Schizosaccharomyces pombe: one gene and its partners. The protein of the gene in region 3 interacts with the protein of the main gene of each other region in a biochemical or structural test. Each region holds a gene or a part of one and is shown on either strand. Other genes may lie near its edges.

Region 1 (6,502 bases), on a different chromosome or scaffold from region 3:
ATTCTGTTTTAGAGGATTAGAAGAAGTAACATTGTAACCTGTAATGTTATAAGTCGCAGAGTTCACGATTGTGAGAGTCACTAAAAACCATGTGCATTGCTGACATTTCTTTATAAATAACGTGTAATCGCCATAACAATAATTTTGGTTGAAGTATCTTCTTTTTTTCTCTTGTCAGAGTTTTTCCTGAGTTGACTTTAAACAAGAGAATAAGAATTATATCATTAACATATCGATCCCTTTTCTAAAGTCCCTCAGTACCAATTCTAGTTCTTTTGACCGTTTTTTCTTGTTTTTAAAAATATTTTTTAAAGAATTTAGAACGTTAGTAATGTCAGCTGCTAAACAATGCTTTCGTAATCTTTGGCGAGCATCCAATTCGGTTTTTGAAGGTAAGTGGGTTAACCTCTATCAACAAGTATGTTTTTTTTTATTCACAGATGATACTTAGGGGACCCAATGATTCTCGCAGCTGCAAGGGATAAAATCAGAACTGGTTTTCACAATCATCGGTGCTGTTCTCCAGAAGAAGCAAAAAAAGAAATCCAAAATGGTAATGCTGTTGCGGAAATCCTTAGAAGGAACGTCGTTCAAGCTGAAAAGCAATCCAACGATACCTATTCTTTGAAAATTCGAAAGACAACTGAAATTAATACAAACAGACAATTTACTGAAAAAAAGTTTCCTCGGTAATTTTTTGAAATTACTGCATCAAGCTCTATTAATACAATAAAGTATGTTGTTTTCATACTCATATTTATTTTTTCTGTTTTAGTAATGTTTGACCATTAACAAAAATAAAGGGAATGGCAAGCTTGTTTTGTATTTGCACTTCATTACTTTCGTTTTTTAATACCATATAACAATTCCTTTCGTGAATAAATAAGCAAAATTAAGATTATATCGGTTACTTTATTGTGATTATACGGAACCTCGTTATCTTGGCATCATGATATAAATCATAGCATAGCTAACATATTTCCTCAGTTCCACAATCTGGCTTTACACTAAAGTAATTCACACCCTACATTTCTATAAATTTCTATAAAAGCATTATGGCCGAAACCGCTGAAAAAGTTATTTTGTTGACTGGATCCTCTAAGGGTATTGGATTGGCTACTGCAGAAGCTCTACAGAAGAAGGCCAAGGTTATTGCTGTTAGTAGGTCCTTGACCCCAGAACTAGAAACTTTGCTTATTCAAAATCCTGACTCATTTGTTCACGTGAAGGGTGACGTTACGGAGGTTGGAAAAGCTAGTATCGAAACTGCTATTAAAAAGTTTGGAAAATTGGACTCGGTTATTCTAAATGCAGGTGTCCTTGAACCTATAGCCAAAATCGCTGATGCAGATATCAATGAATGGCGTAAGTTGTTTGATATCAACTTTTTCAGTGTGGTTGAAACAGTGAAGTATGCAATCCCGCATTTGCGTAAAACCAAGGGTACTATTGTGATTGTATCCTCTGGCGCTGCTGTTCGTGTTTTTCCCGCGTGGGCTGCATATTGTTGCTCAAAGGCCGCCATCAACATGCTAGTCATGAACCTTGGCAGCGAGGAGCCTGATATAATGAGTGTGGCAGTACGTCCGGGAGTTGTTGATACCCCTATGCAAGTTAGTATCCGTAATGATTCCAATAAAGAAGCCATGGGTGGAGATACTCATAATTTTTTCAAAGAACTTAAAACATCCGGTCAACTTGTGGCTCCTCAGGACATCGCCAAAGCTCTTTCTTTTCTAGCCTTGAATAACAATCCAAAGCTTACTGGTCAATTCGTAGAATGGAAATCATTTGTCTAGATGTTCTATAGTTTATTGAATTTCGGAGTTAGAGGCTACAATTGTTCGTTTAAATAAAACAAAATGAATAAATTAAACATTACATCAAATAAAAGTAGCTGAAAATAGTCCCAAAAAATGATCATGATTACTAATATTGATAAACAAAGCTGCAACAACATCTCAATCATTCATTAATGGTGACTATTCTAATTGGGTATCGTTGTCTTGGGCGACAAAAGCATCATCAGCTGTATCTTGAACATATGGATCTCCGCTCGTCAAATTCACTAATGAATTGGAAGATGGACCAGTAAATAATGAAGCATTAGAGTCCGAACCATTTTCAACAGCAATTTCATTAATCCAACCACGACGTCGAACCTTGACGGATCTGTGTTTTCCTAGAGTTTTAAGATACGATATTGAGTCATCAAACGTGGCTCTTGGATATAACTCATGAGTCCATATATGATACATTCCCAATAGTTGTTTTAAGTCTTTTGCCTCATGACCCTTTCCTTTTAACTTAACTTTGCGCATCATTTTCCTTAATTTTGGAATTCCATTTTCAGAAATCAATCTAAATAGGGAAAACGAGTGGTCAATAATTATTTTCCGAAAACCGACCAAATTCTTACCTTTCTTCATCAAATTTTGCCAACCGTTTGCGAGGTTTTTTTACAGAATCTGGATTTTCTTCTAACCCTAAATCAAATTCTTTTTCTTCTTCATTCTTTTTCACCTCTTCCCTTTTGTTTTCCTCGACGAGTTTTTCAACACCTGAATCAGAAGCAGCTGTAGACATTTCTTATGGTGTTTTTTTAAAATATATATTTGCTTGTATGTTTCGCAAAAGAGAGTTAGTGAATGCAATAAATATCGATTTGCTTGCTGTTTCGCTTCAAAAGTTCTGTTAATCTAGCAATTTTTCTATGTACTATTGACTTTACTGCTAATGAAAAGCGAATAGAACCTTTCAAATTTAACTGCGCAGCAAGAAAGGTTTATAATTTACTAATGAAAGAAAATTCCTTATTTAACGCGGATTAGAAATGTGTAGAGGAAGAATAGTTCAGAAGGCTCATGTTACACCTGGACTATATACTTTTATAAAATTTTGTTAAGAATGCTCATAAATTATAGCTAATTTTTGGAATTGTGATAGACGTATTTGAGTGATAGTGCTCGCTGCTAATACTAGTATAACAATTCTCAACGTAATCATTTTTGAATCGTTTCGGAAAGCATAATAAAGCAACTTTTACCCTTTCTCTTTCAATTAACATACTTTCCTTCAAATTTCTTGCATTCGTGTAGATTTCTTTTTTTGAATAAGTGTTTGTCATTAAAGGTTTAGGCAATGGCTTCTAGATATCGTGTTGAGTATGCGTTAAAGCAACATCGGAAGGACGATTTTATTGAATGGATTAAAGGTTTGTTGTCAGTTCCTTTTGTTTTACAGGCAGGAACCCCTTCACAGAAACTAGTAACGCGCGAAAAAGAGCAGGAAACGCTTGAGCGTTACGCTGTAATTTTAAGAGATGTGGAAAAACTTATTGAGGCTCATAGTAAGTTTCCCCTTCATTCTTTTAATTTTCTAACCTTTCTCATTGATAGTTCAAATAGTTTCAGAAGGTGGATCCTATAGCCAGTTAAAGATGCTTGTTCCATCGATCACCATATTTTGGACACCTTTGCCATTAGTGAAAGCTATGTACGCGTTGGAACCAAAGCTTTGTCTAGCTAAACGAAGCTTTGTGGCACCGAGTTTTAACGATGTCAGGGCAATATTAGGAGGTGCTCAATTGAATTACCTTGCGGATAATGGCTTGGATATGGTCAGTTTTGATGGAGATGTAACTCTGTACGAAGATGGGCAGCCTTTGCTTCCTGACAATCCTGTTATATCCCGTTTGATTCAGTTACTTTCGAGGGGGATCTATGTCATCATTCTTACTGCTGCTGGCTATCCCAGTCGTACTGGCCAGGAGTATACTGATAGATTTTCAGGATTATTGCAGGCAATCGAAGACAGCGACTTGAAGGATGGGCAGAAACGGAAACTTCATGTATTAGGAGGCGAGAGCAATTACTTATTTGCTTATGACCCACTGCATGGTTTACAATGGGTGGATGCTGACTCATGGATGCTTCCCGTGATGAAAACATGGCCTCATGATGAGATTCTCGAAATTTTGGATACTGCTGAAGAAACTCTTCGTTCTTGCATTCAAGGACTTAACATTGATGCAAAAATAGTTCGTAAAGAAAGATCAGTTGGATTTGTACCTTCCCTTGGTCAAAAACTGAGAAGGGAGCAACTGGAGGAAGCTGTTTTGGAGACACAAGCAACGTTGCAGATACGAAATTTCTCAGTTCCTTTTACTGCTTTCAATGGTGGAAATGATATTTGGTGTGATATTGGTGACAAGAAATTGGGTGTTTTATGCCTTCAGCATTTTTTTAATATTTCCCATCCTTCTCGCTGTCTGCATGTTGGTGATCAATTCTTGTCAGCTGGTAACAATGATTATAAAGCGGTAAGTTTGAAATAAACTTTTGTTGAAGATTACTAACCACCTATTCAAAGAGAGCTGCTGCTACCACTGTTTGGGTATCCAGCCCCCACGAGACGATTGAGTTTTTAGATTATTATTTCTCTTTTTTAAAAAAGTAATTTAATTAGAGGAGAGATCTTATACTGCAAACACATTCGTAAATATTCTTCTTATACTTCAGCAATGCTATACTATACTTATAAAATGAATACCCATATAAGCGTTTTGACATCAAAAGATATATGATCGTTCAATACATTGTTAATCTTTGATTTTTGATATCAATTTCTTTGCTAATTTTAATAGCGCATTATGCAATGTAAGATTTGGAATAGCATTAAATCTGAATACATGAATTTCACATCATAAAAACTCTAAATAAATGAAGACAAAAATAGTGATAACTCAAAGAAAGATACAGTATGTACTTGATTAGTTTTCAGAGTAACTTTAAGACATGAACGATAATTTGCCATAGAAGCAAATTCTAAACAAATTCCGGATTTTTAATATCCATAAATACATCTAGCTCAATTTTCTTTTGTTTCGGTCTCTGATGCGGTAGGAACAGGAATGGCGGTTGTCGTATGATTATCGTGAGCAATATTTTGATTTTTAAAACGCTCACGGGCTCGGCTTAATAGCTCTTCTTGTTGTCTCAATAACTCATCTCTTGATACACCGGATTGTTCAAATTTGCTACTTTTCTTCTCACGATTCTTTTGTTGTTCTTTATGCTCTGCCGCCACTTCCAAAGCTTCAGCAATATATTCCTTGAATTCCAAATTCTCTAAAGCTTTAATAATGTGTTCAGCGGCTATAGTTTTTTTTGCCTCCTTTTCGCATATTTCATTAGCTTCACTAGAAACAAGATGTATGAACTCCACACAGCACTCTATCAGTAAATCTCTAGCTTCCTTCGTAAAAGTCAAGTCCACTGGAAGTATGTCGGAAACCATTTTCTGAACGGTGGCTACACATTATTAGTAAATATGGATTGCAATTCTTTTACCTTTGGGAAGGGACAATTCATCGTCCGCGAAACCATCATTCATTATGCAAAATTTTTATTCCTAATTTCGTTCGTTTCAGTAATGCAAAACGATTTTAGAGAATGCAGGTTTGTGTAATACTCAAACTAGTATAGATTCGTTGCATGCTTTGTTATACATACACATATATATATTTTCGTCCAAGAAGATATTCGTAGAGTACACTGGAATGCAGTATTGGTAGACTCGTTCTATTCAGCAAAGAATGACAAAAATGATTTTATAAGTATATTAGACGGCAATTTCACAACTCGATTATACTTGCAGAATAATTTAAAAAAGACATGGATTTGATTACGGCTTATTCTTGTGCTTTGAAAATCCAAAATTACGACAGGGTATCAGAGCACTACAAAATAAATGAAAAAAAATTTAATGAATTATTTTCGAGCAATTCCGGCTAATTAAACCCGATACTCTGAAGTTCTCATAGAATGATCAGCATATTGATAGAAGTTTCAGAACTTCAAAGAATCTAAAATCTTTAAAATACATTACTGAGCATAGCAAATAATAGAAGAAAGGAATGGTAAATATTTTATTCTATGGTATCAAAAAAAACACACATTTCAAGATGTATAAATGAAAGTGGGTAAACAAAGATGGCACCAAATTTGATTTCTAAACTCACGCTAAACCCAATACCTTTTTTGTTATGAACTTACTGAGCAAAGAAAACAACGTCGGCTGATGACATGGATCCACGTTCAATAAACATTTTGGCAAATTTGTCAAAAACAGCTTGGACAGAAGCAGCACCGGCAGCTTTCTCAGCATTGATGTCAGCAGCTAATTGTCCAAGTTCTCCTTCACCTAACTTGGACATGATAACATCAACGTCTTTTAACACACTGTCAACATGCTCAGCTGAAGGAACGTCAGTTGCACTAAAATAGTTGAAGTCTTTGAGAGCGTTCTTGACAACCTTTTTATCACGCTTTTGGGCCTTCTTTTTATCCTCCTTAGCCTTTTTGTTAGCAGCAGCAGCAGAGGCTTTAGCAGCAGCTTCTTCAGCAGCACGACGTTCTTCTTCTTCTTTCTTTTTCTGTGCAGCAGCAGCAGCTTCACGTGCACCAGCCTCACGTTCCCATTTACGAGCAGCCTTAGCAGC
Region 2 (10,759 bases), on a different chromosome or scaffold from region 3:
AAATGTTAGATTATTATAGCTCTCATAATGTTACAATAAGTGAGGACGACCTGAAGAACTTCTCTTTAGTTTTGTGTACTCATGTTGCAAAGGTGAATGAGAAAACAAATAGTATTTTCCGCACATATGAAGTACATGGTTGTGAAGTTTGTAACTCATTTTGTTTACTATTTGATGAGCGGTCGCTCTTTAAAATTCCTTATCACGAATTGTTTTGTGCATTGCTAAAAAATCCCGACATAATTTCCTCTTCTGTTAAACAATCATTGTTGCTTGATGGCTTTTTTCGGTGGAGCCAGCATTGCTCAAACTTTAATAAAGAATCAATGTTAAGTTTAAGAGAATTTATTATGAAAGCATTAGCCAGTACTTCAAGATGTTTACGTGTTGTTGCTGCAAAAGTTTTGCCCATTTTCATTAAGGGACCTAATAATCTTGATATAGTTGAATTTCACAAGGAAAGTAAAGCCTTGATTTTTAATACGTTGAAAATATTGGCGGTGGAAAATACAGCTATTTTAGAAACGGTCATTCTTTCCTGGATCTCCTTATCTAGAGTGGTAGAAGAAGAAGAATTACATTTTGTACTATTGGAAGTTATATCTTCTGTGATAAACAGCGGAATATTTTATCAAGGCATTGGTCTCAGCGCTCTGCAACAAATTGCCTCGACGCGTCATATATCCGTTTGGCAATTACTTTCTCCATATTGGCCAACAGTGTCCGTTGCGATTGTCCAAGGTATGGGTAAAAAACCGAACATAGCCAGTTTATTTGCTCAGCTTATGAATATTTCCGAGGGCGATTTTCTTATTCGAACACAGGCGTACACTTTACCATTCCTTGTACTTACTAAAAACAAAGCGTTAATAGTACGTATAGCTGAACTTTCACAAAGTGATGTTGCTACTTTGTGCCTTACCAATATGCATAAAATCCTTGCTTCGCTACTTACTACGGATCATCCTAATTTGGAAGAGAGTGTGATGCTTCTTCTTTCACTGGCCACTTCTGATTTTGAAAAAGTTGATTTAACGTCTTTGTTACGCTCTGATCCTATTTCTATTACTGTGGAGTTGTTACAGCTTTATCAGAATGATGTTCCTCATGAAAAAATTGAAAATGCTTTAAGAAAGGTAGCAATGATTGTCTCTCAAGTGGTTAATGACGAAGACTTGAGCAATAAGGAATTACTTTATGATTTTTTTAATAATCACATTTTGGGTATCTTAGCAGAATTTTCTAATATCCTTAACGACCTGAAAGGAAAGACTTCAATTAATGAAAAGATTAAGACAATTGTCGGCATTGAAAAAATGTTATCTTTATGTGGAGGTGCAGTCAAACTTGGATTACCACAGATACTTTCTAATTTACAAAGTGCTTTTCAAAATGAGCACTTAAGGTTTTATGCAATCAAAGCTTGGTTCAGTTTGATATTAGCAACCAAGGAGCCCGAGTATAGTTCAATTGCTGGTTTAAGTCTTGTAATTTTACCTCCTTTATTCCCTTATTTAGAACCACAAGAAGCAGAGCTAGTAATTCAAATATTTGATTTTATTTCTTCTGACACACACAAGTGCCTACAAGGATTAAAGTGGGCTATCCCCACCAGTCTGGATTCAGCGTGCTTTAGCCTTAAGGCTAAAGAAATATTCTGTTCGCTTCAAAATGAAGATTTTTACTCTGAGCTTCAAAGTATAATTAAGTGTTTAACTAACGAAAATGAGCCAGTTTGTTATTTAGGTTTACAAAAATTAGAACTTTTTTTTCAAGCCAAGGTGGACGAGTTACATGACACACTAAATTTGGACATATCCAACGAAGTTCTGGACCAATTACTAAGATGCCTTTTAGATTGTTGTGTAAAATATGCTTCAACAAATATGCAAATATCATATCTTGCTGCAAAAAATCTTGGTGAATTGGGTGCGATAGATCCCAGCCGCGCCAAGGCTCAACATATTATTAAAGAAACAGTTGTTCTTGATAACTTTGAAAACGGAGAAGAAAGTTTGAAGTTTATTCTAGATTTTATGCAATCGCAGTTAATTCCAGCTTTCCTTGTTACTACTGATACTAAAGCACAAGGTTTTCTTGCCTATGCTCTGCAAGAGTTTCTAAAGCTTGGTGGATTCAAGTCCGCAGTGATTAATAAAAAAAAGGGACTAACTGTGGTAACAGAACATTGGATGTCTTTGCCTGATTTATCCAAACGTGTGCTTATACCATTTTTAACTTCCAAGTATCATTTAACACCAATCCCCAAAATTGACATTCGGTACCCTATTTATAAAGAAAATGTTACTATTCATACTTGGATGCAGTTGTTTTCTCTTAAATTGATGGAGTACGCCCATTCGCAAAACGCTGAAAAAATATTTGGTATTTGTTCGAAAGTAGTGAAAGACCAAGAGGTTAACATTCCCTGTTTTCTTCTTCCCTTTCTTGTTTTAAATGTTATTTTAACCGAGTCAGAACTGGAAGTTAATAAAGTCATTGAAGAATTCCAGCTTGTTATTAATCAACCGGGACCTGATGGATTAAATTCCGTGGGGCAACAAAGATACACCTCATTTGTAGATGTATTTTTTAAGATTGTGGATTACCTTAACAAATGGCTTCGCATGCGAAAGAAGAGGAATTGGGATAGACGTTCTGCCATTGCAAGGAAAGAGAACCGTTATATGTCGGTGGAAGATGCTACCTCTCGAGAATCATCGATCTCAAAAGTTGAGTCATTTCTTTCTCGATTTCCTTCAAAAACATTAGGTATTGTCTCTTTAAATTGTGGATTTCATGCTCGTGCATTGTTTTATTGGGAGCAACACATACGTAATGCTACAGCTCCATATGCAGCTTTAGAGTCCGATTATAGAGTTTTGCAGGAAATATATGCTGGAATTGATGATCCAGATGAAATCGAAGCAGTGTCTTTAAATTTCCATGATTACTCGTTTGATCAACAACTCCTTTTACATGAAAATTCAGGAACATGGGACTCGGCTTTGAGTTGTTACGAAATTATTATTCAAAAGGATCCTGAAAATAAAAAGGCGAAAATCGGTTTGCTTAACAGCATGCTGCAATCGGGGCATTATGAATCTCTTGTTTTGAGTTTAGATTCTTTTATAATCAATGACAACCACGAGTATTCGAAGATGTTAAATTTGGGTATTGAAGCTTCATGGCGTTCGCTATCTATTGATTCGTTAAAAAAGTGTCTTTCAAAAAGCAACTTGGAATCTTTCGAAGCTAAATTGGGTAGCATATTTTACCAATACCTACGGAAGGATTCTTTTGCTGAATTGACGGAGCGGCTGCAACCCTTGTACGTTGATGCTGCTACAGCAATTGCAAACACAGGCGCCCATTCAGCCTATGATTGTTATGATATTTTATCTAAGCTGCACGCAATTAATGACTTTAGTAGGATTGCTGAAACTGACGGAATTGTTTCCGACAATCTTGATATTGTTCTTCGCCGTCGGCTTAGCCAAGTAGCTCCGTACGGTAAATTCAAGCACCAAATCCTGTCCACTCACTTAGTTGGCTATGAAAAATTTGAAAACACGAAGAAAACTGCTGAAATATATCTCGAGATTGCAAGAATATCTCGAAAAAATGGTCAATTTCAAAGAGCCTTCAATGCCATCCTCAAAGCAATGGATTTAGATAAACCGCTAGCAACAATAGAGCACGCACAATGGTGGTGGCATCAAGGGCAACATCGTAAAGCTATTTCTGAATTGAATTTTTCGCTTAATAACAACATGTTTGATTTGGTTGATGAGCATGAAGAAAGACCTAAAAATCGTAAAGAAACTTTAGGAAATCCACTTAAAGGAAAAGTGTTCTTGAAACTTACAAAATGGCTCGGAAAAGCTGGCCAACTGGGATTGAAGGATTTGGAGACGTATTATCATAAAGCGGTAGAGATTTACTCAGAATGTGAGAATACGCATTATTATCTTGGCCATCATCGAGTTTTAATGTATGAAGAAGAACAAAAGCTCCCAGTTAATGAACAGAGCGAACGATTTTTAAGTGGTGAGTTAGTAACTCGCATAATTAACGAATTTGGTCGATCTTTGTACTATGGTACAAATCATATATATGAAAGTATGCCAAAATTGCTCACACTGTGGCTTGATTTTGGGGCCGAAGAACTTCGCTTATCTAAAGATGACGGCGAAAAGTACTTTCGTGAACACATTATCTCTTCGAGAAAAAAATCTTTGGAACTTATGAATTCGAATGTTTGTCGCCTTTCTATGAAAATTCCTCAATACTTTTTTCTGGTTGCATTATCCCAAATGATATCCAGAGTATGCCATCCAAATAATAAAGTTTATAAAATTTTGGAACATATAATTGCAAACGTTGTAGCATCTTATCCTGGGGAGACGCTATGGCAATTAATGGCAACAATAAAATCGACTTCTCAAAAGCGCTCGCTTCGTGGAAAAAGCATTTTAAATGTTTTACATTCTAGGAAGCTTTCTATGTCTTCCAAAGTTGATATAAAAGCACTCAGTCAATCTGCAATTCTCATTACTGAAAAGTTAATCAATTTGTGCAATACAAGGATTAACAGTAAATCTGTAAAAATGAGCTTAAAGGATCATTTTCGGCTTTCTTTTGATGATCCGGTAGATTTAGTCATTCCTGCTAAATCATTTTTAGACATTACTTTACCAGCTAAAGATGCTAACAGAGCTAGTCATTATCCATTTCCAAAAACTCAGCCTACTCTGTTGAAATTTGAGGATGAGGTGGATATAATGAACTCTCTTCAAAAACCAAGAAAAGTGTACGTTAGAGGTACGGATGGCAACTTATACCCATTCTTGTGCAAACCCAAAGATGATCTTCGTAAGGATGCTAGATTGATGGAATTTAATAATCTTATTTGTAAAATATTGAGGAAAGATCAAGAAGCGAACAGAAGGAACTTGTGTATTAGAACTTATGTTGTTATTCCTTTAAATGAAGAATGCGGATTTATCGAATGGGTAAATCATACTCGTCCATTTAGAGAAATTTTGTTAAAAAGCTATAGACAGAAAAACATTCCCATATCATATCAAGAAATCAAAGTTGATTTAGACTTTGCACTGCGAAGTCCTAACCCTGGTGATATATTTGAAAAGAAAATCTTACCGAAATTTCCTCCAGTTTTTTATGAGTGGTTTGTTGAATCTTTCCCAGAACCAAATAATTGGGTTACTAGTAGACAAAACTATTGCCGAACTTTAGCAGTAATGTCAATAGTTGGCTACGTTTTGGGTTTGGGAGATCGCCATGGCGAAAACATATTGTTTGATGAATTTACAGGTGAAGCTATCCATGTCGATTTCAACTGTCTTTTTGATAAAGGTCTTACTTTTGAAAAACCTGAAAAGGTGCCGTTCAGATTAACTCATAATATGGTAGATGCAATGGGTCCGACAGGTTATGAAGGGGGTTTCAGGAAAGCTAGCGAAATAACGATGCGGCTTCTTCGCTCAAACCAAGATACATTGATGAGCGTACTAGAGTCTTTCCTACATGATCCTTTAGTCGAGTGGAATAGAAAGAAGTCGTCAAGCAAGTACCCGAATAATGAAGCAAATGAAGTTTTGGATATAATTCGCAAAAAATTTCAAGGCTTTATGCCAGGGGAGACGATACCTTTATCTATTGAAGGGCAAATTCAAGAATTGATCAAATCTGCTGTCAACCCAAAAAACCTGGTAGAAATGTACATTGGTTGGGCTGCTTATTTCTAGCATTTTACTAACAAAAATTTCAATGAACAAGCTACCCATTATTAAACTTATGATTTGAATCGAAGATATTTTATTTATTAATCCGATGAAGAATTCTCGCTGAGTTGTTCAATTTCTTGTAATTTTCCTTCCATTTCTAAATCGTCGATTCGCTTAAATAGGGCACTGGCTTTTTGTGCATTTTTCTCTCGTAAAGCAGCTTCTGATTGAAAAAAAGCTATATCTGTTTCTGAGTCATCATCCGAATCAACAATATATTTTGCAGATCGTAAATGGTTTTCCTTTTTCTTTCGAGTTGTATGGTCAATAATAGTTTCGTTAGTTTTCATCTTTTTACGTTTTCTGTCAGTAATCTTATTTAACGCTTCTCGACGATTGGCGAAAGTTATAGGATCATCTGCTTCAAATTCAATTTCTTCGTCAGATGTTTCACCCTCACTACTTGATGGTAAACGAACATTTCCTCTTTGCTTCCTCACTAATAAATCTTCGGGCTTGGTGCCTTCAAACGTCGGCGGATCATCAGTAAACCTTCTCAACAACATGGCATGCTCAACAAGTTCATCAATTATAACAGAATTTGGTAATTTCCATAGTGCTTGAACGTCTATATTGTTATCTGATTCTTCGAATCCACATAATTCTAATAATAGACGAAATTTTCCGTCTTTCAAAAGGGCCGTATTAAATGAATCTGTGTCTCCTTTCAAATTCTTCCCCATTCTTTCACCATCATTTCCACCTTCATTTATATATTTGTTCTCGTCAGCTAGCGTTATTAGCTTTCTTTCTGAAATGAGGCAATTAAGTTGAACTTTCAATTCATCTAATAAATCACTTTTGTTTTCATTTATAAGGCATGCAACAACGGCAGCCACCTTTTCCAAATGTGATAAGCCAGGCACCGTCTCGTATAACGGGCCTTTTCTCGAACCATGAATAGAGAAAAGTGGACTTTTTCCATATTCCAGATAATAAAATGTGTCGGTTAATTTTGGGAAAGGCAACTCAATAAAAAGTGCTGGTACATCTTTTAATGCATCTGAAAGCTTTCGCATATAATATACAAAAAATTGTTCAAAATCCTGTCTTGCTGAATTTGTAGTAGAAAAATAGACATGGTCATTAAACATTTTGTCCAGAACACGTAGGAAATCGAGACGATACAAATAAACATGGCATTTTTGCTTCACGAAAATGCGGTAAAAAAAGGAAATAGCCCTATGAATTTGTTTTGAATCCAGATCTTGGTAACATTGAAGGAACAGCACGAAACTATCAATACATCCATTATCACAGTACCTAGACTCATATCTGCCGAAATCAAACAGACGGTCCTCAACGGCTGCATTAGCATTAATCAAGCTGCTTTCTTCATCTTCATCCGATTCCAAGACATTGCTATCAACAGATTTCTGATTTCTCCTTCTCTTTTTCACATAGAGATATTGTTTAGCACTGCTAAATTTCTCAAGCTCCTTTAATAGCACTATAGTTAGCTCAGTTATTGCATCTAAATACCCAAAGGACTGAGTTTTAAAATGCTTTAAAGCGCTATAAACAAGTAAAAGAATTTCCTCTTGGTAAAAGATATTGCTTAGTAGATTATCGGCAATTCTTTGGTAAATTTCTGAGGAACAAAGTGTCATACTTCGAAGAGTGAAAAGTAATTGAGTCATCGAAAGCATGGATGCTTGGAAGGTGCTCCATTGTTTCATTTCAAAGGATTCTACCATTAACCTGTTGTGCATAATCAAAGCTCGTTGGTCAAAAACGGAGGCTGCTAAGCCAAAACTATAATCATTAGAGTAAATTTCTTCTGTTTTTTTTGGTTTAGACGAAAATCTCATGAATTCCAAAAAAAATGACTGAACGTATAATAATTGCATTTTATGAATTGGAAGCACACGAGGATCTTCTCTTTCCAAGTCTTTTAAGAGAGACTGAAATAATGGATTGAATCCAGCTTCCAAAAATTCGACAGCAAAGTTCCTTAATGCAGTACCTGCCTCGGTATTGATAAAGAACGATTTGTTTATGTCATCCTAATATTGTTAGAATAGAATAGTTGAATTGGAAAAAAAAATTTAAACAAACATCGTGTTTAACTAAGTACATACAAAATGTTTTCGACGTGTTCCTCGTTTTCGAAAACGCTTATGAGAGTCAAGCTCATCAAGGCCGTCGGTTTTTATATTTTGGCTAGCAATAGTAAATCTTCTGTCTTCAGTTTGAACAGAAAGCATGGTTCCAAATCTATTATGCCTCGTATGTGCATTTCGTTTCAAATAGCGATTTTGGGTCGACTCTTTGAGGAGTAAGCTATTAAGTTCGGTTTGAGAGTTAGTCAATGAGGCATCAGAGAAAAGGGCTGATGGCTTACAACCTCTGATCAAGTTGTAGACTATTTCTAATATGTAAACATCAAAATGCTCAAATTCATCGAGATTCGAGACCAGTGTGACAATCAAATCTAATATATGAGCTTTCGCAAACGAGATAATTGTTTCATTTTTTGTTTTTAATTCATCGATTTGAAGAATGTTTCGAAATAGTAACAGCACTATCCTGATTATTCCCTTGTCTCTAAGTGTTCTGGATTCTGCGGGAGTACTTAAGGGCTTTAGTAAAACAGCTAAAATGGCGGATAAAACGCTCCCCTTCTTGTAAGATAAAATTGAATTTTTATAATTTGATTGAGCTTGACGCAGATTATAGAGAACATCAACATTTTCTCTGAATGTTTCATGCTCAGTCTCCAAAGGCCATGTTAATGGTACAAGAAGCTCAACACAAGCTAAAGCGATACGCCAGTTTCTGTAATTAGTAATGTCTTTATCCCAGTCAGAGAGTATTGGACATATATCATTAGTTACCAACTGTAAGCTCGAGAGCAAAGATCGAATTTGCCAAACTTTGTACTTTTCATCGACTACTTGAAGATAGCGCTTCAGATCCTTTAGGCAAGCCAAAGCTTCATCACCAAGAACGTACACTTTTTCATCGTCTGAATAGTCAAATCCTCCAATGGCAGAAACAATGCCTTGAATCACCTCATCTAATTCCATTCAAGTTGATTTGTTAAATCAAAAGCTCTCAAGTTCCTTTTTTTTGTATTGTCGGTATGCGTCGATAAATAAACCAAATTTAAGAAATTAAATAAATTTTAATAATTAAGCGATATTAATTATGTTCATGAATAATCGTATTCTTTTAAGATAAGTAAATTTGATTGTAGATACGTGAAGAGGGGTGGTGACAGTAAACAATGAATAATAAATTTTTAAAACAATATTTAACTTTTCAAAATAACTTGGATTTTTAAAAAAATGTGTGTAAAGTAAAACACTTTATAATTTAAATCGCATTAAAATGGCATTCAGTATTATATTATAAAATTCGATAATATGGACTCAACAAAACGAATTTGCTACCTAACTTGTACAATGCATAATTAGAATTTAGTTTCAATAATTTTCACAATTTCAGATGTAGAAATTTAGAGTTTATTATTTTCAGAATGATTAAGCAGCAAATCTTTAATAACAATATAAAGAGATGCATTCTCTACTACAAAATTCTAAAAATTCTGCGTCAAATTCAACATTTCCTCTATTTTGTAAAATTGTAAAACAACGTAATAAATTGTTACAGGACTCATTCATAAAGACTATTTACACTTTATTTAATATAGAATATATATATGATGCGGCAGAAAAGCAATTTGAACGTTTGGGACTGTCACCTACCAGAAACTACACCAGCCAATATAGCACAAGCATAGGTTCTCTATAGAGGTTGCTTGTAAAATCAGCTTCTCTACTTGACTTGGTACATCCAATTGCTGTTGGGGTTTGAAATCCCGACCAGTAAGTTTATTGGACACACGATTAAGAACGGTTATAGCTCTTTGATTGAGTATCTCGGGTTTTTGACGTTCTTCAAGTGTAATTCCTTCTTCGTTTAAGCGTTTCCGGTGTAAACCATCAATTGTCTCACCGAGAAGTGTATTAGGTTCGTTAGATTGCTTTTCATCGATAGAAGGTGAATATGCAGGAGCAAGGCGCCAGTTAATAAGAGGATCGTAAACGAAAGCTTCTAAAACTGCCATCACAGACTCCTTATTAGTACGAAGAACTCGCATAACATGTTCGCATGTTATCCGGAACGTCCCCTCTATACCACTAACTTCCATTGCGTTAACAAGCATTCGCGTAAGGCGGAAAGGAATCTTCTCGGGAAACTTTTCTCGATGCATTGCTACTTCAAAACAATCTCCAAAATCGATATGGATGATATTACCTGTATACCTGTCCAGCATCAAATTGGAAGGATGACGATCGCCCAAACCTAAGATGTACCCTACCATTGACATCACCGCAAGAGTACGAGAATAGTTAGTTCGCCTATTAAGCCAAGCTTCTGAGCTACGACTCTTCAGCCATAAAACGCGGTATAAATCCTGCCCCGTAGTACTAAGTAGGGCATATTCAAAGACTTCAACTTTCTGAAGGAGAGTGAGACGATCGTAATCTGGAGCCATCTGAATGATCAACCTATGTTCTATGTTGAGTAAAATCTTTCTGCTTTCTCTGTAGTCACGAATTAAGACATGCAAAGTATCGCTATCCAAAACCCAGCCTAAAAGGCCTGAATCCGGTGATAAAGGAATCACTGGATACCTTTGGATTGAAAGTAAGCGCTTAAAAGTTTCCGGGTCAGCTAGTAACAGATTGTTACAAAGCCCAAATAGCTGCATAACACGTTCATCTTGTCTGATGTCCTCGTGACCCTTTAAAACATATTGATAATCTTTTCCATCACTGCCTTTAATACTCAGTCGTCTCGGACGTTGCTTAGATGTTATCACGTTGAATGTAGGGTAAAACTTTACAATTCTTATAACAGGTTTCCCGCTAACGTATGTTCCCGGAACAGCTAACTCAAGATCATGTACATGTAAGAGTTTAGGAGAAACGTATTGTAAA
Region 3 (7,052 bases):
CGATGTCCATCATGTTTCAAACGCTGCAGCAGTTTATCAAGAAGTACCATTTTACCACTATTCATGATAATACCTCTCAGCGTATCTTCTCGAGTCATCTTTCTACCCATCATCCATTTTTCCGCTGCGCCAGGAAACAGATAGGGATGATTTGATACTTTTTTCAACTCTACAACTATATTGAGTAAGGATAGCTGACCTCGGCCATCGGTATGACCTGTCAAGGCGCGGTAATTTTTAGTTAAAATGTTCTTGTACCATTCAGTTTGCATATCAGATAGTTCGACTCGAAGAATACGCTCAGATTTGGACGGTAAAGATTTCTCTACATCTTTTTTTAAGCGACGGAGAATGAAGGGTTGTAATCTTTCTTGTAGATCTCGGATGTCGCGCTCTTGTTCAGCATTTGGTTGATCAAAATTTAATTCATCTCTAATGTAAAATTTTCCAGGCATCAAAAAATTAACCAAGGATGCCAGCTCCTTGAGATTGTTTTGAAGAGGAGTGCCTGTTATTAATAATCTATTGGCAGTCCGAAATTGAGATAAGGTCTCGTATAAAGATGATTCACTGTTTTTGAGTCGATGAGCTTCATCGATAGCAAGATATTGCCAGCGAATATTGTTGAGTTCTTGCTTATCTTTCAATATATACTCATAGGTCGTAAGTAGAATGTTAAATTTAAGCTTGCGAGAATTCGTAGAAAGGTAGAATTCATACTCTCTAATATTAGCACGAGATTCCGTATTACCTGTATAGCAAATACTATTCAAATCAGGTGTCCAATTGGCCAATGTTTCTTGCCAAGCCGGAACAGTGGAAAGCGGTACGACAATAAGGAAAGGACCGTGTTGTTTTAAAGAATGGACTAAATAAGATAAAAAGCACACAGTTTGCACGGTTTTACCCAAACCCATTTCATCTGCTAAAATACCATTTTCATTCCGGTGCCATAAATATGCCATCCAGTTTATACCAGTAAGTTGAAAATCACGGATTTCCCCCCCTTTAATGTAAGATGGTTGCTTTTCTAACTTGCGGTACGGGGGACGGGTGTTATAGAAAACACCTTTATAAGGGAGATACGGACTGTTTTCACGTTGCAAGAATTGATAAACTTCATTTGGTGCCATAGAATAAATTACGTCGGCATCTTCCCATGTGCAATTATCATAAGGAAGCTGCCTCCACTTTACAAAGTATTCTGTTTTTCCTTCTTCGTTAGTTTCAGAAGCTACTATGCGTTCGACAATTTTATACTCTTCAAAAAGCATATTTTTACGTTCGCGTTCAATATCCAGAGCTTCGATATCTTCAAAGGTTGTAGTTGGATCTTCACGAATCTCGCGATCATAAATGATGTTTTGCTTTATATAATTGTCGACTTTTTTGTAGCCCCTCACAGAAGAAAGCGTAGAATAATCTTCCCAAGTATTATGAAGATGGGAAACTTCCTGCCATTTAATTAAATACTGATAGCTAGACTTCGGGTCATCGTCTTGTGCATCCGCTCGCTTTCGGTGATTTAAAACGAAATCAATAATAGGCTCATATTCCTCTTCGACCTGTTCTTCTACTTCCTCTTCTTCGTCCTCGAAGTCGTCGTAAAATTCTTGTTCATTGTAGTTGACGCTTTTACCTTTTGAAGATCGCAATGAAGTACGGATTTCGGTTCCGGAAGCAGAGTTAATACTGAATCTATGTCTCTTATCATATGCGTCTTCATCATCGCTAGCCACAGACTTTTTTTGCTTTGGTGCAGGTTTGCTCTTTCGTTTTTTAGGAATCGGAATTTCATGCTCGTCAATTTCAGTATAAGAGAAATCACGATAAACGGGTCGTTTAGCCCTTGAAGAACGTCTTGTACCATCTACTCTAACATCGTCAGAGTTTTGCGCATCGTCAATTTTAGGGGTAGACAAAGCAGAAGATACAACTGTGCTATTAGCAGTGCTGGTTACGATTTCAGAATCATCAAAGGCAGAAGACGATAAAGATTGCTGCGAAGCGAAAGAATTTTCATGATTTAACAGGCCATTCATGCTAGGTAGAGAATTTGTTGTATTTCCAAACTGAGGATCAGTTACTGCAGAGCCATTTAAAGTAGACTCTTGAACGCTCGTAGGATGATTTTTTAAATCATAATTCGAATGTTCAGGCTCCATTCTTGTTACTCCAGAAAATTTATATAATGTTAAATGTTGAGAACGTCCACAAAGTAGGCGCTCCTTTGCAGACTCTCTTTTAAAAGCTTAAAATGCTTTTTTTTAAATATATATCTGGATATTAACAGTGAAGCAACAAAGGATTAATAGGAATAAGCAGTATGCCTATAAGGCTATTAATTGAAATTACTATGTTGTTGGCAGAAATTAATAGTGCAAAAATATGCAACACTATAAATGAAATGCCAGGCAATGCAGGTGATTTTGGTATCAAATTACTTCTCCAGAGTCCCTTTTTATTAATAAAATTTACCTTTTGAGAAGGATTCACTATTTTTACTCATGCAATTTCCACTCTCAATTTTTGCGAAAATGCAAGACCTTTACAAACAAAAAAATCCTTTGCCATAAAATGTACGAGCTATTCTCATTCACTCCATGGAAATTAAGTTAGCTTACAATTTTCATTTCCGGTTCGTATTTCCGAGCAAGTCTGCAGATTTTATTTCATTTTCAAATTAACTGTGCAAAACGTGAAGGCAAATTCGTATTTCATAAAATGCTTCAGTTCGCATGCTTTTATTAAATTTAAAGATCATTAATTTCAAAAAATTTCTATATATTTTATTGTTTACTATCCCATAACGTTAAATAGTTTACACAAAAACGTCGAAACTTTTCACATAAACGTATGCTTCTTTGTTTCAATTGTTCATGAAAACATAATGTATTTATTTACTTCTTTAATTACAATTGAGAGGGGAATCGAGACAGAGAAAACAATAGTTTCTGAAAGAAATAAACTAATTAAAAATTTGACCGATTGGTTTTACTAAATTTTTTTAACTGCATGGATATTTTACCAAAGATTCAAAGATATATTTATTGGTTTTGTTATTTTTTTGAGAATTTTATGAAAGACTTCACCTTCCAACTTTTTCAATTAAATGTCAAGGAAAAATACTGTACTTAAAACTCTTGAAAGTTTTCCCAATATTTAAGAAAATGGAACTTCAATTGTTTTTTTAAATTTTTGCAATCCCTTTTTGTTTTAATATTTTTATTACCAGTTTCTGTATATATTTATTTATTTCATTTGACTATTTAGACAATTTATATATTGATAGAAGGAGAAATCTCAGAAGGATTATTGAAGACTTAATTTTATTCTTTTTATTAATGTCAGCATGAAAGCTGATTTTCTAGTCTGAACATTTTATTAAATGGGTAAAAACAAAAAAATCAGTACTCTAAATAAACATTGGTTCAACGGCATTTTTAAAAGTGAATAGAGAAAAAAATTGCGATTACTGTTATACAAAGACATGGCGAAATTGAGTCTTTCAAGCGATATAATTGTCCTTCAACGGCCTTTCGAAACGTACGTAGACACAACCGCCTAACCGTCAATCACAACTTAATTCCTCAACCATTCCATTTTAGGAAGAAGTCGAAGAGTTCAATGATTTTAATATATTTTAATTAATGCACTCAACTTTTTGGATTTAAAAAATTCCAAATTTACGTAGCTTAGTATGAAAGTGGAGGAGCACGTCCCTCTAATACAGGAGTCGAGGAAGAGAAAATGCCAATCTTCTGAAAATGCTTCGAAAAGGCAGCAATTACTTTCCAAGCTTCCACTTAGACTTCATACAGGCAATGAAAATGTCGATTTATCTCCTTTAGTTTCTGCCATTCGCAAGGCAAAGCGCATAGTCGTTGTTACTGGTATGTTGCTTATTTATGGTTTTCCTTCTTTTATTTTAACTTTTCACTTAAAAAAAAAGTGGGATTAAAAAAAAAATTAAATATTATAATCGTACAAAGGCTCATTTACTAATACGTTTAAACAGGTGCTGGAATTTCTTGTGATGCTGGAATTCCTGATTTCCGTTCCTCTGAGGGTCTTTTCTCCTCCCTTCGTGCGGAGTATAAATTGAACTGCTCCGGGAAGGAATTGTTTGATGGATCTGTTTACAGAGATCTTAAGAGTGTTAACATCTTTCACGCAATGATTAGAAAGCTACATATGCTTTCTAATAATGCACGCCCCACTGATTTCCATTTATTTTTATCTCAACTAGCCCAAGAATCTAAGCTGTTACGTTTATACACACAAAATATTGATTTTTTAGAAACCAGACTCGAGGGCCTTCAAACATGTATTCCATTGCCGCAGTCTGCCCCTTGGCCTACCACGATTCCTCTTCACGGGACACTGGAAGTTGTAAGTTGCACAAGGTGCAGCTTTTTGAAAAAATTTAATCCAGATATATTTGATAGAAATGGTGTTACTGTTTGCCCTGACTGTAAAACCGAGAACGAGGTTCGTCGTATAGCAGGAAAAAGATCAGTTATCGAGGGTTGCCTTCGTCCTCGGATTGTTTTGTACAATGAGATACATCCGGATTCCGAATCTATTGGTTCGGTCTGTTCACAAGATTTAAAGTCCCGCCCTGACTGTCTAATTGTTGCTGGTACTTCTTGTAAAATCCCTGGTGTCAAAAGAATTATCAAGGAAATGAGCAACTGTGTGCATAAACAGAAGGGAAATGTTATTTGGTTGAATTATGACGAACCTACGAAAGATTTTTTGAACTTATGCGACCTGGTTGTACAAGGAGACCTTCAAATTGCTATTAGACGTCTGAAGCCTTTATTAGATGCTCCAAGTTGGAAACTCAAGTCCCATTCTGCCAAAAGAACTTCAAAACAAAAATCTTCCGAACAAACAAAGATTACTTCTTCCACTAAAATTACGAAAGCTATTGGCTTGAACACGAAAAGCAATGATAGTTCTAAGAAAGATAACACTTCTTTTCAGTTGCACCAAGTGCTCAATAGTATTGAAATACCCAAGGTGGAAATTAAACAAGAAGTTGAATATGCAACCCCTTCTCCGCTTTAACATTTAGCTTCAATAAACCATGTTAAAAATATCAATTTATCCTTCTTACCCCAAATGAGGTTTAAATAATGCCTGTAATAATAGTAGTGAACCTTCTCTGAATCCGAAAAGCGATACAAATTCCGAAAAACGTTTGTCTAATTGATTAAGCAACTTTGATGTGATGCTTACAATTTTTTCATTTTGATTCTTTAGTATATAAGAGATGCAGTAATTAGGTTGTACAAAACCAAGATCATCAAATTTTATCTCATAAAGTATTGTAATTTTGTAAAAGGAATTTTGAACATAGAAACATTGAGCGTCCATGTTTGCTGATGCCACTTTTTTCATATGCTTTGATAAATAAAACCACGTATTGCAGCGATATGAGTAATGGTGGGCAAATAATGAGAACGCTCTCAAAAGAGCTACTATATCGAGACATTGTATTGCAGAGTCCGAAAAACTACTGAGCTCTTTTCTAGCAAAATGCGGGATTTTATAAGTAATAAATAAAAGAGCATAATCGATTGTTCGGACCTTAATTTCTAGTAAAAATTTGAAGCTTGGGAGATATTCTATATCTCCTTTAAGAGAATGATGAATGATTTTCTCGGATTCCGCTTCAAATTCATGTTGTGTGAAACGAATGGATGATATGGACGAATTCAATTTAACATGTTTTTTGGGTTCAGCAGATGGCATAACTTGCTTTGTTTTAGGATTATCAGGGTTTTCGGTATTATAAATTACTACAGAGGAATCAATCTCTAATAATGATTTTATAAATCCGCTTAAAAACGAATCGTCGCGTTGGTTAATTGCATTTCGTCTAACCCTCACCTCTTTCTCAAGAAGCAGGGTTTGATGTACAAGGTTACTCCTTTTGCGCAAAAGATCCATTTTTCTGTCAGTGTCTACTCTTCCGTTGCTAGATTTGGATTGTCCACTGTTTTCATTAGGCCTCGCTCGTGAATCTACGCGAGGCATGCCATTTAAAGTAGTATTTGGGCTTCGGTGAGCAACAGTACGTTTTGTCTTTTTTTGTTGCGAATCACTATCATCACTACTGCTAGATCCTTCTTGTTGAGAAATTTGACTATATCGCCTACCGGACATTTTGATATTTATAGTCGTACGCGATAATAGTATCAGTATTACTACAATTAACAATGCTCGTGCAAAAGTGTTTTAATACTTTTTATGCAACATTAATGAAAAATCCAAAATCCTCAAATGGTGGAACAAATGCATATAGTATATAGTCATGGTCAAAGCAACACTTAAACCTAGAAGTGAATCTTAGTAGCTACCACTTTGAAATCACTACTTCATTTTTACGACTGAAATCCATATTACTCTACTAAAAATAATATTTGTAATATTTTATCATTTTCATTGTGAAATGGAGAAATTTACTCGCTGGAGAGGTAAGAATATGCAATACTTTAAATGCTTGATTGTTCACATAAATGTTGTTTAAATAGAACGCAAAAAAAAATAAAAGCAAAAAATAGAAGCCAATTATTTTGTATTATGATTCTTGACTTTAAGATCGAGTGTTTGTCAATTTCTCTTAACAAAATGACTTTAATGCAGATTCATTAACCCTTTTAGATCCGGGAACGGGCATAGCTCCATTCCATCCTATAAATACAGAAACTCCTAGTGGATTTAATTTTAAATGGATCCTTATAGTTGTTGTTATGATATTGCGAGTTCCTCTTTGCATCATTTCTGTAACATTATGGTTTCTCTGGTCTTGTTTTTTGAAACCTATACTATCTATACAGCCGAAACTTAGTTTTTTTATTGATTCGAGTCTCTCCCGTTTACTCCTTTTATGTTTTGGATGTCTTAAATTATCAAAGTCAACTTCAGGGTATGCCCATTAAGTCCCTCGTGCATCTTACATTTTTTATTTTTCAGAAACTAATCATGAGTAGAAGTTTCGTTCAGGGTGATAGCCTTCAACCGGGTGATATCTTGGCAGTGAA
Region 4 (7,902 bases), 1.1 Mb from region 3:
GTCGCAACACATTAGATGGATCTTCCAAATCGACAATAACGACCTGGTTTACACCATTTGGATTATCGCGAACACTACACGTATAGTAGTTAGCAAACAAGTAATAAAAGTGCCGATAAAATATACTTACCAAACATATTTGTCAGATTCAAGGGTTACATTTGCAAATCCGAAAGAAGACGGTTGAATTCCTACGGATGCGAGCTACAAGCATTAGCGTTTATTAACAACATTAAAAACCTACCTGTAACACCTCACTGAACCGTATTGGTAATTGTTGAGCCATTTTTAAAGTCCACACTGACAACCCGTCGTGGTGGAAAGAAAGAGGTAGAGGATAGGTGAAATCGCGAAAGGCTGGATGAGCCAACCCCCACTACAGACGACCTTCAAATCGAAGGGGGTTAACATTGCAAAAGTCCTAACGATAAGCGTTTTATAGTGATAACTAGCAAACAATTAACCTAGCGAATTTGCTGTACAGTATACTGATATAATATCATTAAATCGTAAATTTATATGATCATGAATATTGACTGATGAAGATTGGAGATTTTAATAGTAAATCTATAAATAATTTTTTGAACATTAGAATGGTTCATTTTTCTTCAGAATACCTATGCTGCTCGACTACAATCAGCTAAAAGCGATTCAGCGTCAGCGAGAGTTTCGAACTAAACCAATTTTAAAAGCGAAGGGACAACGGCAAAATATGTAGGCTTGTCTCGTTATGTAGATCTCTGAGGGGCAGCCAATATCATTAATGTGGCATTCACTGTCAAAGAACCAGGTCAAGATTACAAATTCCTCCTGTTTGAAACGTATGAAATGCTATAACCATGTGGCAGAAAAGAAGTTCAATTCTCGTCAATTAATATTCTCGTATTGCTATGGGATCAGCCAACCATTTAGCAAGTCATACATCTCGTTTTGCAAGCAATATAGGGAATTTGAATACAACGAACAAAACAACACAAACCTTTCTACAAAATATTGGGTTAATTTACAACTATAGGGTTAACTATTGCTTCATCGCCTCATGTCTCACTTTCACTATGATGATTTGCTACGCTGAAAATAAAAGGAAGTAATGTATTTTATGAAACACAAACGTGTACTACTACATATGGCAACCATAAATACTTAGTAAAAAGTGCTGGGACGGTGAGGAGCAAAGACCTTCTTGCCAGCCAAACCGACAACACCAGTACGTCTGTGAGGGAGAGGGAATTTCAAGTGAGGGTTAAGGAGTTGCTTGACATAGTTACGGCGAACGTCCTCCTTCTTCTCAACCTCAACAACCTTAAGGATACGGATGCTGCGGAAACGAGCACGATGACGGGCAGCCATATCGGCATACATAGCCTCAACGGCACCAACACGAGTAGTGTCACGGAACTCCTTGTACATGTTGTGGGTACCAGAGCGAGAGTCATAACGAATCCAGATACCGAAGACCTTGGCCTTCAACGGCTTAGGCTCGGAAATCTCATTGATGGCAACGATCTCACCAGTGGCCTTCTTGACTTTGTTGATCATCTTCAAGAAGTACCAATAACGAGACTTGGCAACAGATTCATTAGGTGCGAACAAACGCATACGGAATAGCTTGGGAACAGGCTCATGTTCCGTAGGAACCTTGCGTCCAACGACTTGATACTCCTTGAGTGCCATTTTCCCCAATTGGTGTTGTTCGTAAAAGTTTCACTTTGCTCTTCAAGGTATACTCTGTGACTGCTCTGTTACTAACGAAGTCTACCAATGTGCGTTACGTTTCGTAAGACATTTGCCCGACACGACACTTGACAGCGCGTTTGTTTACATTTTGAACAGGCTTGTAAAAAAGGTATTATTCTTTTTGTTGTTGTTTTTTTTTATGAAAATTAGATCCCATCTCTGGTAATCATAGGATTCGATTCACATTGGCTATATTCTCTTTTGCAGTAACACACCGACCTACTACATTAACGCTATATCGAATACTGAAAGCAAGAACTTTGAGTCTGCGTAATTGCGAAAAGCTTTGTTGGACAATATAGTCAATTGAAGCTGCTTTAGGTGTTCAACACTGGTGTGCTGATTCCTCCTTCGTTCAATAATCTCTTTTTAGTCAATAGCATGTGAGCTAGCAGTGTCAAGTAAACGAACATAAAGGAATATTTTTGATATTTAATTTTACAAGATTTCTACTATTATGAATCAAACTACCACCTTAAGTACAGAGCTGACCGAACTCGGGGTTCGTGTTCAAAACAGGTGGTTACAAAGCTTGCTGGATTATTTGGCCAAAAAACATTCAACTGGAGCAAACACAACTCCTCAATTAGTAATGCAGTATCTCGTGGCTTCTGATATACGTGAATCCACCACAAGCGAGGGAGCAGCTCCATATATCGTGTCTGAGCAGCACAATGTCAGAATTGAAAATACCATGTTGCTTCAAATTGTCCGAGTAAGAGAAATTGGAATTAGTATTGTTAATCAACTGGAATATCTAAATGATTTGGAAGAGTTGAAAAAATTAAAAGGCCAAAAAGTAATTCGCTTAGTACATGATGAATCTGGCGATGAAGAACAAAACGATGATGATGGTTTGACAGAGGCTCAAGATGCTGTACAAAAAGGATCGGAATTAAAAAAAATGTGTCGGTTAATCCTCGAAGACTCGAATGGTCAGAGATTTTGGGGTTTGGAAAGAAAACCAATCAAGGGCATCCAACTCAGTACAAAGTTAGGAACAAAATTATTGGTAAAAAACGTGCTAGTAAGGAGAGGTGTATTAATGCTGGATCCTAACAATACAACCATCTTGGGCGGTAGTATTGAAGAATGGGATAAAGATTATTTCCCAAAAAGGCTAATAGAAGAATTAAAAGGAGAATTGTCGAAAACAAAGGCGTGATTAGCACTCTGCTTTCGTTACAATCCTTCTTGCCGATGTCAACTTAGGTTCTTTAAAATTTGAAAGAGATGTAACCTTTCTTTTTTTTATTTCTAATGCTGCTCGATAGTTTTTTAATCCCAGTTCACACATTCCAACATGTTCAAGATCAGATTGCGAAATCCAAAAGAAATCCTCGTTCGTAACAATATCGGGAGAAGCAATAGCATAAAAAACGTGACTTGTTTTCCGTATGTGACTGAATATATGTAAGTATCTTCCTCGGGATTGATACTTTTTAATAAGAGAACGGCTATCATTTGATATCCATTGAGCAATAGATTTCTGAAATTCCGCATCCATATCTTTTGGCCAAGATTCTTGTCCAAACTCGATTGTTGGGAAATCCCATAGCCCTGCTAAAAGCCCTGCACTCGGTCGCTTTCGGATAAGGAAAAACTTTTCTTTGGTAGAAGGATCAGTTTTCTGAAATATAACAACGAGCGCCCTTTCTTCTCGTTGTTTTGTCTTAGCTGGATGGACTGGATATCTCGCAACAACCCAGTTTTGTAAATCTTCTTTGCTTGGAATATCTGTGATGCAAATATTACAGGGTACTTGGATCATTGTTAGTAAATATAGATAATTTTTTATTCATACCATCCTCTATATCATATTTAATCGTATTTCCATCGCGTATTACGTTTTGTTCTTGGTATGCTTTACAAATTTCAGAGATTGGGCAAACCGAGCATCGAGGACTCTGAGGAGTACAAGTGATTGCACCTAGCTCCATTAACGCCTGATTGAAATCTCCAGGTCTAACAGGATCTACAAGCTCATTGGCTAGCTTCCTAAATATTTGGTTAGCAATTTTGCTTAAATTGGGATACCTGGTTAACAAATTCACGGAATAAAATGTAGAATGATTTTCAAAATTTCAAATTACGTACCAAATTAAAGCATTCGCCTTTCCCTTGCTGCAATCACTATGGATAGCTAAAGCCCTACTTAATACACGAATGACATTGCCATCCACAATGCCTGTTGGCTGTTTCCATGCAATACTCAATACAGCACCTGCTGTATAAGGGCCCACACCAGGAATTCCCTTCGCCCATTCATCTCCCGTCCTAGGAATCTCACTGGGATGAAGTTTGGCAAGATGCTGACAAGCTTGATGGAGTCGTTTGCACCGTGTGTAAAAGCCCATTCCTGACCACAGTGGCATTACCTGTGTGTTGTACTCTGCTTCAGCACATGATTTTAAAGTAGGAAGAGTCTCCATCCACTTCGTGTAATACCGTTTAACTGTCTCCACACGAGTTTGCTGCAGCATAATTTCTGAAACAAGCACTTCATACAACCTTTGTACTGGTTGCTCCCAGTCTTCCAACGGTGAGTCTTCCGAAGGAGGAATACATTCTTTTTTTCTCCAAGGTAAAATCCTTTTAGTTTTATCGTAGAATTGAATCAAACTCTCGCGAAACCTTTCTACTTCTAGTTGTGTGTAGGAATGCAAATCTAAAGAATGATTTGAATCCGACATCTAAATTAAATATATATATACAATTAATAAAAGAAAGTAAACATGAAACGGAAAAGAAAGAGAAAACTAGTGTTGAAGGGTACGAAAGGAGTTGAGAGATGGGTTTTGGTAGAACTAAAGTGTTTAAATAGTGGAAACAAGTAAGCAATTAGTTCGGCTGAAAGTTGCATACCTCAGTATATAATAATCACATTGGCTTAAATTACTTTTAAATCATTAAATATTGTAGAATATTATTACCATTCCATTCTAATAAAAAATGAATCCTTACACATAATCTCCCGTTTAAAAAATTTGATTTTACGAAATTAATTCAACTTATTCAAAAGCTATTGTAAAATGTTATTAATATACCAGAAATGAAAGATTAGACAGTTTGGTATATTGATAAACTGACATGCAGCTGAGAGATAACCTCAAATAAAAGCACTTTTTTGGTATATAACATAAGAAAAACTATTATTATGAGTCCATCGGTTTTGAATTTAAAACAAAATAAATGAAGTGAAGTAGAGGAAGCTGAAGTAAACGAAACTAATTATAGATTATAGATCTAAAAATACCAATAGATAAAGGCTTTAAAACAAAAGTACAAATTGTACATGGAGGTTAAACGAAACGAAAAGCCGGCAGTGTAACGAAAGACTGCTGTTTTGTAATTTAAAATTTTAAGCTTTTTGAAAAGAGAAAGGCTGAGGTTAGTTTTTAAAAGTAACCGCACTCAAGCGAAAAGTAAAGAGATCAGAGTCGAGGCACAAAGAACAATAGCACTGATCGAAACGCCAACACTAGCGGCTCCAGATGCTTCACTAGAATCCGAAGAGCTGCTGCCATCAACAGAAGTGGAGGAAGGACTGGCGGAAGCAGTAAGTACGAGGGAAGATCCGAAAGAAGTAGCAGCGATCGACATGCTAACTGTAGGAGTAGCAGAAACGCTCTGACCGCTAGTGACGCTACGCAAAGCAGAGTTAATGTTCAAAATTTGATGATTGGCAGTACTGGTTGCGTTACTATTTAAAGCAGCAAGACCAATCTTTTGTGCATCCCAATCATAAATAGAATAAACGTATTGTAAGAAGTATTGACCCAAAAGGTAACTCGAGGTGTCACCTTCAAACAAAGCAAGATAGCAAATATCACCAGAAGTGGATTCTTGACGATAAATGACCAAATCATTAACGGAAACATGAAAGTCGGCATCGCTGCCAAAGTTAAAAGAAATGTAATCAGAATCTGAGAAAGAGTCGCAATAAATAACAACATAACCATACTCACTTACAATACCTTGGTATTGATCGGCGATGGACTCAACAGTATCCTCAGGTAAATAAATATAAACAGTACCAGTATCCAAAGTGACAGTGGTGTTGACCTCAATGTCTTTAGAGGAGCGTTTGGAGCTTTGAACATTGTTACTGGAGGTAGAATTGGTAACAGTGATACTTTCGAGATTAACGGAATAAAAGGTGCTGTCATCAGAGGAAGAGATGTTGACCCAGTGAACAGATCCATTGATTTTTGCCTTATCATAACCACCAAAAATAAGTTCACCAACATCTTCATTCAAATAAATTCCAAACGCGGGGGTGTCGATCACATTTGCGCTTACCAATTGATCAACAATGGTAGGGGGAGTAAAAGCAACGACCTTGTCATCAGAACTAATACCAGTAATAGTCATGGCAACTGACAAACCGATAATTCCCGGCGTTACGGAAATTTGACTACTATCATATTCGCGTGTAGCCAATCCAAATTCAAAGCCAGGTAGGGTAAGACCGGCGAAATAAGCGTTATCCACCATATTGTAGCCAAGGACGGTGGTGTTGTCGCCATAGGAAGCCAAAAATCCAATGGTGCTGGAGTTGGTACGCCTGGCGGTAGTGCTGGAATAATCAAAACACGTGTAGTTGGTACAAGCATTAGTACGAATGTCCGAGGTAGATCTACCAGCATCCACCCCATCGGTGTCACTCCAAATCTCGGAAGCACTTAAGGCCGTAATGTTCTTAGCAGTAACCCAAGTATAAGGACTACCAGTATCCAAAGTGAGAGAATAGACTCTTTCATTGCTGCCCAAGGTAAGGTTAGCGAAATAACCGCCAGCATCAGTGTACTCAAGATCCAACACTGGATATCCCGAAGAATCGCGCTTGTTCAGTACTTTGGTACGTTCCAGTTTCCTCGCCACATGATCATATTGGCTATGTTGCAGATTTAAAACGACCGATCGTTTTCCTGGAACTTCGCTATAAGCAGAAGCTACCGAGGCTTGTAACGCCTGCAAAGCAGAAATTGCAAATACAAAGAAAGAAGCCTTCATATTATTATATTGATTAGAAATGTTATTAATCAGAGCAACAACAAGCTTTGGTTTTCTTCCAAACTAATAGACGGTGTATGCGTTTCCGCCTGCTTTAATGTAGTTTGCTCTGGTCAAAGTATGTGCCCCCCAGAATTTCACATCAACGTAATCCGCGGTTTAAGCCATTCGCGGCTTAGTTGACGCATTCATGAACCGAACTCGTTAAATGACTTTTTCGTATTTTCTTTTAACAGCAAACTTCGTTATAATCCTTTCATATCCAAAGGAAATCCCTTTTGCAACGTTAAAAATTCATTATACATTATAAAGGTATTGTAGCGTAGTAGCTTAATGCACATAACGTATTCCAAAGTGTTTCCATTAAAATAAAAATCAATGTAAGCATTTTACCGGAAATTACTTGAAAACATTGTACAATTTGATTACTTAAACTGTTAATTTGTTCGCTTGCTAGTAATTGATTTGCCTCTCCATTTATGTGAATGTCTGTCGAAACTCCGATGAAGACCCATATATATACAGTGTAGCTAGCTGCAAAGATGAAGAAAATAAGCACATGTTATCTAAGCGCCTGAGATAAAAACGTCAAGTTATATTAGGAGAATTCTACATAGATAGATAACGGCTACTGTGAAAAGTTGTGTTAAGTAATACTGCACAAAAAGACCGCATGTTCGACGGATCAATAGTTTCGTTTGACAAAGTTTCTGTATAAAAACATTGATTTAACGGCTACCGCATCTCGTGATTCATAGTAGTCATGGTGTTTATATCTTTATTAAAATATATTACCACCATATCTGCAAAGTGTCACGGTAACGGGATTTGGAAAACCAAAGATAACCGTAGTTGCGGGAGCAAATAAGTACCATTTAGTGATATTAGTATATTAAAAAACCGTTTTTTGGTTTGTCAAGAAAGTACAGTCGAAGTTATAAAGTGGAAACAACCTAGGAATCTTAAATATTTACGATTCTAGGTTCTGTCATTTGTTAAAGAAAATTCATTCCAAATTAAAAAATAGAGTATTATGCCAATATGCGCTTTTTGCTAAGTCCATCAACTTTTCATGCAAAGATACATGTATTTCATTTTTGACGAGTCTAGGAGAATTCCAAAGAACGACTTTTTTAAAAGGTCTATACT

What was found.
Region 1: the proteins of hst4 (region 3) and swi3 form a complex in vitro, tested with the Schizosaccharomyces pombe proteins (one study listed by BioGRID).
Region 2: the proteins of hst4 (region 3) and swi1 form a complex in vitro, tested with the Schizosaccharomyces pombe proteins (one study listed by BioGRID).
Region 4: the proteins of hst4 (region 3) and myh1 form a complex in vitro, tested with the Schizosaccharomyces pombe proteins (one study listed by BioGRID).

The regions. Positions count from the first base shown.
Region 1 is NC_003423.3:3,088,942-3,095,443, forward strand, and holds swi3 (replication fork protection complex subunit Swi3), read right to left. Parts: upstream 2,916-6,502; 5' UTR 2,587-2,915; coding exon 2,420-2,586; exon of another isoform or gene 2,362-2,419; coding exon 1,983-2,361; 3' UTR 1,918-1,982; downstream 1-1,917. Other genes in the region: chaperone protein Mzm1, read left to right, coding at 332-392, 452-693; SPOM_SPBC30D10.05C (sepiapterin reductase), read left to right, coding at 1,056-1,799; isn1 (IMP 5'-nucleotidase), read left to right, coding at 3,142-3,349, 3,399-4,321, 4,372-4,458; ncb2 (transcription corepressor), read right to left, coding at 4,870-5,312, 5,352-5,394; zuo1 (zuotin), read right to left, coding at 6,053-6,502. UniProt on the Schizosaccharomyces pombe protein: Forms a fork protection complex (FPC) with swi1. FPC coordinates leading and lagging strand synthesis and moves with the replication fork. It is required for programmed fork-pausing which is necessary for mating-type switching.
Region 2 is NC_003423.3:905,755-916,513, forward strand, and holds swi1 (replication fork protection complex subunit Swi1), read right to left. Parts: upstream 9,026-10,759; 5' UTR 8,840-9,025; coding exon 7,892-8,839; intron 7,876-7,891; exon of another isoform or gene 7,817-7,875; coding exon 5,849-7,816; 3' UTR 5,772-5,848; downstream 1-5,771. Other genes in the region: ATR checkpoint kinase Rad3, read left to right, coding at 1-5,771; TORC1 serine/threonine protein kinase Tor2, read right to left, coding at 9,517-10,759. UniProt on the Schizosaccharomyces pombe protein: Forms a fork protection complex (FPC) with swi3. FPC coordinates leading and lagging strand synthesis and moves with the replication fork. It is required for programmed fork-pausing which is necessary for mating-type switching.
Region 3 is NC_003424.3:2,190,130-2,197,181, reverse strand, and holds hst4 (histone deacetylase, Sirtuin family, NAD-dependent Hst4), read left to right. Parts: upstream 1-3,566; 5' UTR 3,567-3,700; coding exon 3,701-3,893; exon of another isoform or gene 3,894-4,018; coding exon 4,019-5,073; 3' UTR 5,074-5,118; downstream 5,119-7,052. Other genes in the region: CENP-A chaperone, CHD family Hrp1, read right to left, coding at 1-2,165; CENP-P family protein Fta2, read right to left, coding at 5,119-6,174; vps66 (acyltransferase), read left to right, coding at 6,461-6,485, 6,673-6,937, 7,002-7,052. UniProt on the Schizosaccharomyces pombe protein: NAD-dependent histone deacetylase, which contributes to both telomeric and centromeric silencing, proper cell cycle progression, DNA damage control, recombination, and genomic maintenance.
Region 4 is NC_003424.3:3,331,520-3,339,421, reverse strand, and holds myh1 (DNA adenine glycosylase Myh1), read right to left. Parts: upstream 4,541-7,902; 5' UTR 4,431-4,540; coding exon 3,835-4,430; exon of another isoform or gene 3,736-3,834; coding exon 3,542-3,735; exon of another isoform or gene 3,499-3,541; coding exon 2,903-3,498; coding exon of another isoform or gene 2,195-2,902; 3' UTR 1,708-2,194; downstream 1-1,707. Other genes in the region: clathrin heavy chain Chc1, read right to left, coding at 1-74, 131-204, 245-286; rpl2002 (60S ribosomal protein eL20), read right to left, coding at 1,144-1,674; RecQ mediated genome instability protein Rmi1, read left to right, coding at 2,195-2,902; aspartic protease Sxa1, read right to left, coding at 5,152-6,753. UniProt on the Schizosaccharomyces pombe protein: Adenine glycosylase active on G-A mispairs. Has glycosylase and nicking activities and is active at A/G and A/GO sites.